2 linked regions of the Caenorhabditis elegans genome follow. The protein of the gene in region 2 purifies or fractionates together with the protein of the main gene of each other region. This does not show direct contact. Each region holds a gene or a part of one and is shown on either strand. Other genes may lie near its edges.

Region 1 (6,397 bases), on a different chromosome or scaffold from region 2:
CCTACTCAGCTTATGCCTGTTTTCAACCATGTACATTTTGATCTACAACTTTACCACCAACGTCTTAAAAGCCATGAGATATTTTCTCTACGCTTCATGTACGGCTACATTTGTTTCTTTAACATTGGCGTTTGGAACACAAACGAGGTTTGCGAGAATCTGAGATTGTGCGGTTTTAAAGGTGGAGTAGTGCCAGTGGGGATTTTGTCTAAATGCACTTATAATGATCCAAAACAACCGAATATCATCATAAAACACTCCAAAAAATTTTAGATTTTTCATAATTTCCGGTCAAATTGCAAATTGCCAAAATTTTCTCGACTTCCAAAATTATGAGTGGCAAAAACTGAGTAATTGCCACTTTTTGACAGTAAATAAAAAAATTTCAAAAATTTTTTGAAAAGTTTTATCATGATATTTGGTCATTTTGGGATCAAATAAGTGGTTTTTCACAATTTCCCCACTGGCGCTACTCCACCTTTAAGTTAAATTTTTTAAAGAAATATTGATAATGAGAATTCCATGGGGTTGCTGTGTGATGGGTTTTGTAAGTTTCTCGGGCCAACGTTTTGTGCGACGTGCTATAAAGCATATGCGGTGAGATATCCTCTTTCAAGCCCTGTAGGCCCTCTTGTCCTCCAAATTTCCAGACTTCTGTACTAACAGTGAACTTGATCAACTTGCACACTCTCTACTATCGCACCGTATGTCTGAAGTTGATCAACGCCCAGGAAATTGGCCGTAACACCTTGATTTTTTCTTGGCATTACCTGTTCATAATAGCCTATCTGGTAGCTAGACGTCGTACAAAGCTAGCCAATCCATATTATTACAGACTTCTACCTTGATTCCTCCCTCCGACCATCTGGCAGTCTACAATGAAACGCTAGCCCATTACCCTGAGTATGACTACACTCCGTATCTGAATTTTGGAGGGTTCAGCCAAGCTCAAAAAGTTTATCTCGATAATTCTACAGTGGCTATGTTCCTTGTCACGTTGTATTTTCCAATGATCGGCAGCTACTGGAAGCATCAGGCGATGAAGCTTCTTAAACCTCATGTATCCCCAAACACATCGGACGCTACACGTGTTATGTTTCGGAAAATGATTATTGTAGGCGTAAGCTTTTGTTATATAGCTTAATTTGGTTTCCAGGGCCTGAACTTTCAAATCTTTCTGCCGATGCTTAGTTATATCCCCGTAGTGTTTTTATTTATTCTGATTCAAGTCACTGGTAAGGGAAGCTTATCAAACCAATATAATTTGTATATATCACCTTTAGGCCATCAATTCCTGATCTCTCAGTACACAATAACCTGTCTAGGAGCACTTCCTTGCTTCTTGGATCCAATTTTTCAAATTTACTTCATTACACCGTACAGGAACGCTGTTCGGGCTTTCTTCGTGCGGAAGCCGTCTGCTGATGGTAGTTGGGCTACAAGAGTTTCAGCAGTGAACAGTGTTGCTTGAAAAATTATTAATGGGCTTTTTTTTCAAAAATGAAGCATGTTTTTTATTAAACTTTTTTAATGCACATATGAATAATTTTGGTCGTTTGGAAAATATAGAAACAAGATCCCTTTGTTGTCAGCATTTTTTAATAACAAACCGTGCTCTAATAGTAAGTGATGATTTGAAAGAAATTTCGAAGGTGCCAGTGTTATTAGAATATTTGATGTTATAGTCAATGTCGCCCATATAGTCCGGTTGAAATATTCTTGCAAGTTCAATTGATTGCACATTATGGTGAGTTGAAATAGTGCAGGTCTTGAATGTAGTTTTGTTCATGAGGTCCTGAAAAAAATTTGGGTATACAAGTAAGATGTCTTGACTTGATTTCGGTTTACTTAAATTTACGAAATCTGGTGATCCGTCGACTTTAAATGTATCTAAATCAAGTTAAAACTTAAGATAGCTATATGGTAATTTCATAAAAGTTAGTGCTTGACAAGTCGGTCAAATTTCAAATTTCGGTAATTTTTTAAACCACCGCAACTTTTTTCAGAAGGTTTCGAGAAATTTCATTAGGTTATTCATGCATACATACACACCACTACTTCATACATACATACTATATACATACATACTACATACATACATGTTGCATACATACATGTTACATACATACTATATACTACTACTACTACTGCTACTAATACTACATACTAGATACATACATACTACATACTACATACTACATATATACATGCTACATACTACATAAATACATGCTACATACATACATACTACATACAAATTATATACTACTACACACTATTACTACCAAGGGTGTCATTTTTCGATTTTTAGATTTTTCGATTTTTTCGATTTTTTAATTTTTTTCAGTGAAAATCGAAAAATCGAAAAATCGAAAAATTGAAAATCGAAAAACGAAAATTTTCGATTTTTCGATTTTCAGAAACCGAAAAATCGAAAATTTTTCGATTTTTCGATTCTCTGGAAAATCGAAAAATCGAAAAAGATTTTCGGAAAATTATCCTTAAAATATGATTTTTTAAATCTAATTTTGCTTGAATTTATAATAAAACATACACATTTCTTCTAAAAAGAAGAATAATGGCTAAAATATGAAGCTAATTTCTGAAAAAAAAAAAAAAAATCGAAAAATCGAAAAAACGAAAAACGAAATTTTTCGATTTTTCGATTTTCAAAAAACCGAAAAACGAAAAACCGACACCCTTGATTACTACTACTACTACTACTACTATATACCACATACATGTGAAAATCAGAAAAACTCACATCTCGAATTTTAATCGCATTTGGCATTGAGAGATTGTCAATTTGAATACTGAACTCTTCAAAGTGAAAAAAGTGCTCAATTGGTACTAGATCACAAAACAAAAACCGACAATGCAAAGTTCGTGCTTTTTTCCATTGGTCCAGACAAGTGATTCTTTCAGATAACTCGACTCCGTCGCGGTGCCATAATACAATATCTTTGAGCACTTCAGCTTGACAACTCGAAATGATGTTCAAAATATCATCATGTGGGAAGTTGTATAGTACTACTGACTCTACGGCTATACATTTATTTTCCAACATATCATTTATCGACGATGTGATGGCTTGTTGTTTTACTTTCGAATAGTTCTGAAAAACGAACTTCTTCACGTTTTTCAATACGCTCGCCAAGTCGTTGAACGCTGCTCGCATGAAATTGTCTTCTTCGATTTTTGTTTCTCGTCCTTTGTAAGTCACGTATGCAGTACCAGAAACATCGGTATATTTGATTTGACTTCCGTTTAAGTCCATCGCAACGAAATCATTACAAATGTCAAATGAGATTCTGTTGAGATGGTTTCCTGATTGGTCAACGGCGCTTCTCAGACTTTTGCACACTTTACGGCAGGATAGTCTGGAACATTGCATTTTTACTAAAAAGATTTTAAGACTCCTTTGAGCTGGAAACACTTATTTGGTACCGAAAAGATCAGATATAATCATGAAAAAAACTTAAATTTTTGGCACGGAATTCAAATTTTAATTTCCCAACAATATTTGGCAGAAAATTCAAATTGAACTTTTTAAAATATTTTGGAGCACATTTCAAATTTTTATCATAAAAAAATTAGGAACCAAATTCAATTTTAAAATTTTCCAAAATTTTGAATTTGAATTCAAATTCAATTTTTTAAAATTATTTGGCGGAAAATTCAAATTTTAATTTTTTAAACATTTTGGCGCCAAATTCAAATTTAAATTTCTCAAAAAAAAAAACGTTTTTAATCTTAAAAAAATATATATTCAAATTTTAATTTTTCAAACATTTTTGGCACGAAATTCAATTTTTTAAAGAATAAAAATTTTGGCGCCAAAATCAATATTTAAAAAATTTGGGTACAAAAATAAATTTAAAATTTTTAAAACATTTTAATATTCCAAACAATTTTGGCATAAAATTTAATTTTGTTATTGAACAAATAAATTTTGACGCACCGTTAATATCAACATTTTTAAAAATTTGTGGCGCGAAATTCAAATTAAATGTTTTTTGAACATTTTGGCGGGAAATTCAAATTTTTTAGCATAAAGTTTGACTTTCATTTGGAAAAATTTGTGAAATTATAACTTCAACTTACAGATCCATTGCAGGCAATTTTGACAAAATTTCATCAGAAATTTCCAAAGGCATACTGATAGTGAGCAAAGTTGGCGATAACTTGGACATTTTACTGGAGTTATATGTAAATTCAAACGTAAAAATGAACCAAAAACGTCTATTCACTCTCTCTATTATACAAACTCCAATGACGCATGGTATTTAAACATTTCCTCCGTAAAAAAAGTATGACTCCATCCGTTTTTCCCGAAAAAATATTTAAACTGATAACAGTCACACATTGGTATAATTTCATTTTACTCGAAACTTCCCAATTTCTTCAAATTTTACACTGAAAACTTCAGGTTTTTACTTGAAAAAAGAAACTTTCGAAAATGCCTACTTTACTAGAATTGCCGTTGGAAATTGCCAATCATGTTTTGAAAAGCTGGAGCCCATTGAACGGTAAGTTTTTTTGCATTTTAACAGCAATGCGAATTTTTCATTTTCAAATTTCAAAATATACAGAATAATCTCGAAACTCTTAAAAACTACGAAAAAAACTATGATGTTGAGCAACTTCTGGCCAATCAGAAGGGGCTGCTTTCCTCCGCTGAATGGTTAAGAATTGGGTGCAGCTAAATGCTGATTGGTTGAAAAGTGGGCGGAGCTAAACGTTGATTGGCTGAGAAATAGGCGGAGCTAAACGTTGATTGGCTGAGAAATAGGCGGAGCTAAACGTTGATTGGCTGAGATATAGGCGGATCTAAACGTTGATTGGCTGAGAAATAGGCGGAGATAAACGTTGATTGGCTGAGAAATAGGCGGAGCTAAACGTTGATTGGCTGAGAAATAGGCGGAGCTAAACGTTGATTGGCTGAGATATAGGCGGATCTAAACGTTGATTGGCTGAGAAATAGGCGGAGATAAACGTTAATTGGCTGAGAAATAGGCAGAGCTAATTGCTGATTGGCTGAGAAATAGGCGGAGCTAAACGTCGATTGGCTGAGGAATAGGCGGAGCTAAACGTTGATTCGCTGAAAAATAGGCGGAGTTAAACGTTGATTGGCTGAGATATAGGCGGATTTAAACGTTGATTGGCTGAGAAATAGGCGGAGATAAACGTTAATTGGCTGAGAAATAGGCAGAGCTAATTGCTGATTGGCTGAGAAATAGGCGGAGCTAAACGTCGATTGGCTGAGGAATAGGCGGAGCTAAACGTTGATTCGCTGAAAAATAGGCGGAGTTAAACGTTGATTGGCTGAGATATAGGCGGATTTAAACGTTGATTGGCTGAGAAATAGGCGGAGATAAACGTTAATTGGCTGAGAAATAGGCAGAGCTAATTGCTGATTGGCTGAGACGTCGATTGGCTGAGGAATAGGCGGAGCTAAACGTTGATTCGCTGAAAAATAGGCGGAGCAAAACGTTGATTGGCTGAGACGTCGATTGGCTGAGGAATAGGCGGAGCTAAACGTTGATTCGCTGAAAAATAGGCGGAGTTAAACGTTGATTGGCTGAGAAATAGGCGGAGCTAAACGTTAATTGGCTGAAAAATAGGCGGAGCTAAAATGGTAGGCTTAGACTTAAAACTTTACTTGCAGTGTTAAATCAAAAACTATTTAAATTCCAGACTAACCTGCCGTAAAGTCTGTCGAAGCTTGAGAGCCGCCCTTGACAAGCTTGGAATCCGTTTTGACACCATCAAGCTGGACGTTATGAGCGAAACCCTTTCAATACGGTTTGATAAGATTGAACTGGAATACACTGATTCAGCTGTGATCTACAAAGGACGGAAGACTATTATCCAAGAAAAAGATTTCATGGAGTTGGCATTCAAGGACCTGAAAATAGCAATGAACCATGCATCTTCATTTGTTCTGCAAAACTTTACAAGAAATAAAAACGAGGTTCTCAAATCTCTTGTGAATGTTTTGGAGAACGGAGGAAGCGTTCACGTGAAGAAAATAAATCTTCTATACCTAACATTCAACGAAATTCTTTCAATATTGCCGTGTTTTGAAGCGGACGTGCTGGACGATATTAATTGTTTGCTCATTGGCAAGGTTCTTGATTTTGAAAGGATCACTTTGCTGGATCAGTGGAAATGTGCAAAAAGCTTCCGATCCACGTATTATGGTGTTACAAATTGTTACCTGACAGCAATTGATCATTTCTTTCATTTCGAAGAGTTCTGTACAACGATTGTTCAATTTCCACAAGAAGACGCAATTAAAATTCGAGATGTAAGTTGCAACTGTGATAGTTTTTTTTCTCATTATCAGAAAATTTGAATTCCCGTCAATTCCCGTGGAAAAAATTATCTGTATATA
Region 2 (5,452 bases):
GTGTAAGTTTTACATAAGTAATTGGAGAATCCGAGTTCATGATTAATTTCAGGAGTCTATTCCGGATGTGGATTCAGCTTTAGAGCCGACTCGCGATAAGCTTAGACCTGTCGCAAAAGAGCAGCTCATCGAAGCCGAGGAAGATCAGGCTTTCTTGAAGAAGTTGATGGACATCCTGGCAACTTCAACCACTACGGCCGCTCCCAAGCCGAGGACTATGCAAGAAGAGCCTACCGATAAGGACAGTCCACTCGCCAATTTCTTCTCCAACTTGCTCAATAAGGTAAATCAATCTTAGATCTTTTTTCTATGTGAATTTCCATATTTCAGGACAAGCCGAGCAAGGTGAGCTCTCCTTCCACTGTTTCCCAGCCGATGGATGCCGCAGCCACCCAGGCCCAACTCGATCGTCTTCTGAAGTCTGCGCAAAGCCCGAAACCTCAACCCCGGGACAGTGATGCATAACGTCATTTTCATAATCTATTTAAATATTTTAAGCTTTATCGCCGGTCATTTTATTCTCCTTTGCGATACGATTTTTATTATATGCTGTTTCTGTAAATACCCACACAACCATAATGTAGTTCGTTTCAAGTTTATGATTACACAAAAGTAGAATAATATAATACGCGGGGACAGAGATCACTTGGGTTTAGAAGCATTAGTAAGGTAAATGTCCATGAAAGCGGCGACGAATCCTTCAAGATGGAAAATTGCTTTTTGTCCGAGAACAAGGCGATGCTCGAATTTCGCTGCTTCACTGACAACTTCACGTGCAATTTGTGGCGGACATTTGGGAAGGAGATGCTCGAGAAGTTTCTGAAAATGTATTTCTAAATATTTTTGAACATTTTATACTATTTGTGTGCTTATAACTCACCTTAAAAATGACAGTTGGTGGAATACATCTGGAGAGCAATTCGTACAATCGTTCGCGAACTTTCAGAAGCATATCGGAGCTCTGTTTCTGGAGGATCAGACGAGCAGTCTCTTGGATATAAATCTCCCATTCCGGAACCGGAATTACTACACTTTCAGCCACACCACTCTCGTTCTCCATTCTTAAAGCCTCAGTCATCAGAATAGCTCTTCTCAGATTTCCTTCAGACTTCTCCACAATCTTTTGCAAAACGTTCTCCGGAAGTAGAAAGCTCTCCCGTTCAATCACTTTCCGCAAGACTTTGGTCACATCTTCATCGGTTGGAGCTGGCACATTGATGATGATGCAACGAGATTGAAGTGGCTCAATGATACGGGACAGGGATTCACAGCTCAAAACGATTTTACAGTTATTCGCGTACTTCTCCATAGTTCGACGAAGTCCGTGTTGAGCATCACGAGTCAGTGAGTCCGCTTCACAAAGAACGACAACTTTGAACGATCTTTGAGAAGTTGATTCGATTTGAGACGTTTGTGCCATTTCTTTAACGAGATCCTGCACAACAACTCGATCATAGATTCCAACATCAGACGGCGTCATTTCGATGTGATAATTGCTCGAGACAGTCTGTATTTCAAGTTTTTTATTCGACGGACTAGTGAACGACTTCATGATGAGCTGCGTTTTCTCGACTCCAACACCGTAAAGCTCTCTGAAAAATATTATTTTATTTACTGAATTTACCAATAATTAAACCTCAACAGACACTTGATCCGTGTCTTTTTTCCAGCTCCACTGGGACCACAGAACAAGAGATGCGGCATACAGTCTGCGGAGAGAAACTTCAAATGATTGGCCTGCTCGATGTGATAATCAACGCCATCCTTTCCCAACAAGTCCTTTGGTCGATATTTGTCCACCCACAACGCCATTTTTGCACTAGAAAAGATTAATATTATATTGTCAGAGTAATTAAAGTCCAAAATAAGCGCGAGAAATAGAAGGTGGAACCCGAAAAGTAATTCCGCGGCACGCGCTTTTATGGTAAATTAAAAAATTAAACCGTGCCGCGAATTGCGCTTCGGGAATCCGGATCCACCGTATATTTCTTGCTAAAAAAATTAAAAGACATATTCAAAGATATCACAATTGTCGCAAACAATTGAATAGAGGAATAAATAAATAGAAAATAAATAAAGAGAATTGTAATAAATTAAAAGAATTCATTTTCAGAAACTCGACAAGTCAACAACGAAATATTTTACAGGTTTAGCCTAGTGAGACGAGTGAGTGAAGATAAATAAGAAAATAATTGAGATATCTACTTGATATTCATTTTACGCTTGAGTGCGATAATGTCGTCACGGCGCTTCTTGTTCTCCACTTGTTGTTTCTCGAGGTTCGTGGCAGCTCTTCCGGGGATTAATCCTTCCTCCAGTGCCAAAGTGAACTCGCGATCCGTCAATTGAGTCGTGTCGACGAACACTTTTCTCGTAGAGTGTGGTGTGTAACCAGCACGTCGTGGAACTAAAAATTGCTATGAATTAGCGAAAAAAAGATAAATATGAATAGTTACCTCTAGTTGGAGTGGTTCCTTTTGGCGTGGAAATGTACTCGGTGAATGTATCATCTTCTGGGACAGTTGCAGGAATGATTTTTCGAGAAGTTAAACGGCATGGTTTCGGGATTTGTGACTTGGTGAGCTTCTTCACGTCCACATGAGATCTTGCAACGGACTTTGTCTTTTTGGTAGAGGTGGTGGCAGCAGATGACGATGAGCAGCCAGCTCGTGAGCTGACAAGAGCGGGAAAATCATCAGCAGATTTATCCCCGAATTGGAAGGACATTTTCTCAGGATCCTGAACTTGCCAATTGCGCGCAGCAGATCTTGTAGTTGATCTATCAACTGGGTCACGTCTTGGCACACTTTTCGGGGTAGCAAGTCTCCTGATAGCTTCTGGGACGTCGCCGGTCATGAATTCGTGTCGTTTCTTCAATCGTTCTTGACGCTCTCCGAGTGTTTCTTCTTTTTCCATCTCTCTTGCATGAATCATTGCGAATCTGTCTCTTCCACTGGATGGAGCACGCTGACGAACTGGCGTAATTCCTCTGTTCTCGATCGGCATTCCTGGTCGCTCAGATGTTTGAGGAGTCGACGAACTAGCGCGGAGAGACAGTCTTGTCGAAAGACGATGAACTCTCGGGCGTGACTTCACCTCGAAGCTTTGCAGATCGATTCCCAAACTGCCACAGAGACGGTTTCTCAAGTCATCATCCAAAACGACAGCAACCGCATTTGTCGGAGTATTCTCGTCTGTAATAAAGCTGTTTAAATTTCAACTAAATGGAATATAACTTACGAACAAATCTGCCAGTAGTATTCTCAGTTTCTTCTTCCTCTTCAACTGTGAATGTGCGATTGGCAGGTGCTTCGTCGGTGTCCATAGCCTCGGCTTCCGGCTCTTCCCTGATTGCCTCCCCGTTTCCGGCATTATTTTGGCCAGCGAGAAACTGAAAAAGTTAAATTAATCACATTGTTTCGACTGAGTTCAAACCTCCAAAAGACGCGATTGAAGTTCCGATTTCTTTCCCGCAGTCGAAGCCCTTTTCTTCTTTAACTCCTTGCGAAGCTTGTCGCATGTCATGTTGAGCACGTCCTCTTCGGCGAGCTCTTTATTTTTGGCTGACATTTTACTGAAATTATTATTTTTATTGAATAGTGAGAACAGAAAAGCAAATGAAACAAGGAACAAATGAACAAGAAACAAAATAGGACTCAAGAAATTTCCCTCCATCGCTGTTTGAAAAATTGTGTTTTTCGCGCGGTGTACGTTGGAGCGCTGTTGCTTTCTTATTGTGTGTAGTCCTCTCGAATAAAGAAATCAATATTCGTATTGTTTATTTCGTCTGAAATTATTCGTTTCTTCGAAGAATTCTTCTCAAAATGGGCCTTGTGGATTACGCAGGAAGTGAATCAGAAAGTGATGAAGAAATGGAAACACAACAAAAAGTAAGCAAATTATTCTTTATTCAGTTTGAAAACATTTTCGAATTTTCCAAAATTTCAGAATTCACTCGCTCCACAAAATCAACAACTCGTCGATGATGAAGCATTTTTTGACAATACAGAAAAATCAAGCTCACCAAACATGAACAAAGAAGATGTTCTCGAAGAATTAGTAAAACCGAAAGAATGGGAGGTTAAATTGGCCGAGAAAGCAAGGAGAAAGCTGGAGAAAAAAGCTCTGAAAAAAGCACAAAAAGAAGAGAGAAAAAAGGAGAAAAAATTGGCGAAAAAAGCGATGAAAGTTGAAAAAATTCCGAAAATTGGTGGTGGAATTCAAAAAGCAAAAGGAAAAGTTATAATTTCGGCGTTCGGAGCTCTCGCAGGAATTACTGGCGAAAATTCCAGCGATGACAGTGATAATGAAGGTGCTGCTGTTGCTACAGTTAAGCCGAAGCTTGGAAACAGTTTTTTGTCAAACCTTCCAGCTCCAAAAGGAAGAGATAATCGTTCAGATGGTGCAAATGTATTCGATAAGTCCATGGTTCCACATTCAGTTTCTAAAAAGGTAAAAATTGAAAGTCGAGTGCGGATTCTGAGAAAATATACTTCTGATTTCGAATAACTAAGTAAAAAAATTTCCCTAATTTCTTATTTCAGCTTGAAATCGCCGATTTTCATTTGCGTCCCCATGAGATTTCCGAATTTTCACACCAGAGACGTCATGTGTCGATTTACGAAATGTGTGTATATTTACGAGATTTTCAATCTTAATCGGATGCTGATTTCCGGTTTTCTCAATTTTCGTCAGTTTTTGCCGAAACGTTTTTTGAAAATGTGTTTTTTTTTGAGGTTAATTAAACATTATAATATCAAAAAACTAACTAAATATTCGATTTTCAGTCAGGAAAAGCATATATTTGGATTTTCCGCTGAGTTGTGACCTAAGCATTGGAAATTTACTTGGTTTTTTGATAATATAATGTTTAATTGGCCTTAATAAACACATTTTCTCAAAACATTTTGTCAAAAACCGACGGAAATAAAGAAAACTCGTTGAAAAACAGAAATCAGCATCCGATAAAGATTGAAAATCTTGTAAATATACACAAATCTCGTAAATCGACACACGGCGTCTCTGGCGCGAAAATTCGCTGTTTCAAGCTAAAATATAAAACCGGGGAATTTTTGTTCGATTTTTGTCCCCATAAATATTAAAAATCAGGATAAAATTTCCAGATTTCTTCACTGAATTTTTATTTAATTTAAAACTTTAATTTTAAAACTCTTTCTCTTCCAGGCTACACCTGCTGCTGCTCCAGTTTTCAAGCCGGCTCCAGCTCCAAAACTGCCAGACGACAGTGATGACGATGATGACGGTCCAACCGATTTCTTCGGTTTCTCATCTGCTCCAACTAGAAAAGAATCAGAAATTCCATCAGAAATTCCATATATGACAATGAACAGCAGCATGGATGTAGTTGGGCCATCCCGTCCAGATGAAGGAATGGATCCTCGACAAATGTATGAAATGCCAGAAGAAGAAGAAGATGTTCAAGAAGGTCCAT

The links. Proteins that work in one complex are often made in the same cells at the same time.
Region 1: the proteins of rfc-3 (region 2) and fbxa-12 fractionate together in Caenorhabditis elegans (co-fractionation; one large-scale study listed by BioGRID). This does not show direct contact.

Annotation. Positions count from the first base shown.
Region 1 is NC_003281.10:2,217,557-2,223,953, reverse strand, and holds fbxa-12 (F-box domain-containing protein), read right to left. Parts: upstream 4,247-6,397; 5' UTR 4,158-4,246; coding exon 4,105-4,157; intron 3,381-4,104; coding exon 2,765-3,380; intron 1,796-2,764; coding exon 1,589-1,795; 3' UTR 1,513-1,588; downstream 1-1,512. Other genes in the region: srd-65 (Serpentine Receptor, class D (Delta)), read left to right, coding at 1-147, 501-597, 651-791, 836-1,114, 1,157-1,235, 1,284-1,471.
Region 2 is NC_003282.8:13,092,129-13,097,580, reverse strand, and holds rfc-3 (Replication factor C subunit 3), read right to left. Parts: upstream 1,820-5,452; 5' UTR 1,813-1,819; coding exon 1,637-1,812; intron 1,593-1,636; coding exon 881-1,592; intron 820-880; coding exon 643-819; 3' UTR 501-642; downstream 1-500. Other genes in the region: dli-1 (Dynein light intermediate chain), read left to right, coding at 1-2, 53-283, 331-465; C39E9.12 (SAP domain-containing protein), read right to left, coding at 2,202-2,407, 2,457-3,194, 3,241-3,391, 3,436-3,570; prcc-1 (Proline-rich protein PRCC), read left to right, coding at 3,825-3,890, 3,949-4,452, 5,185-5,452.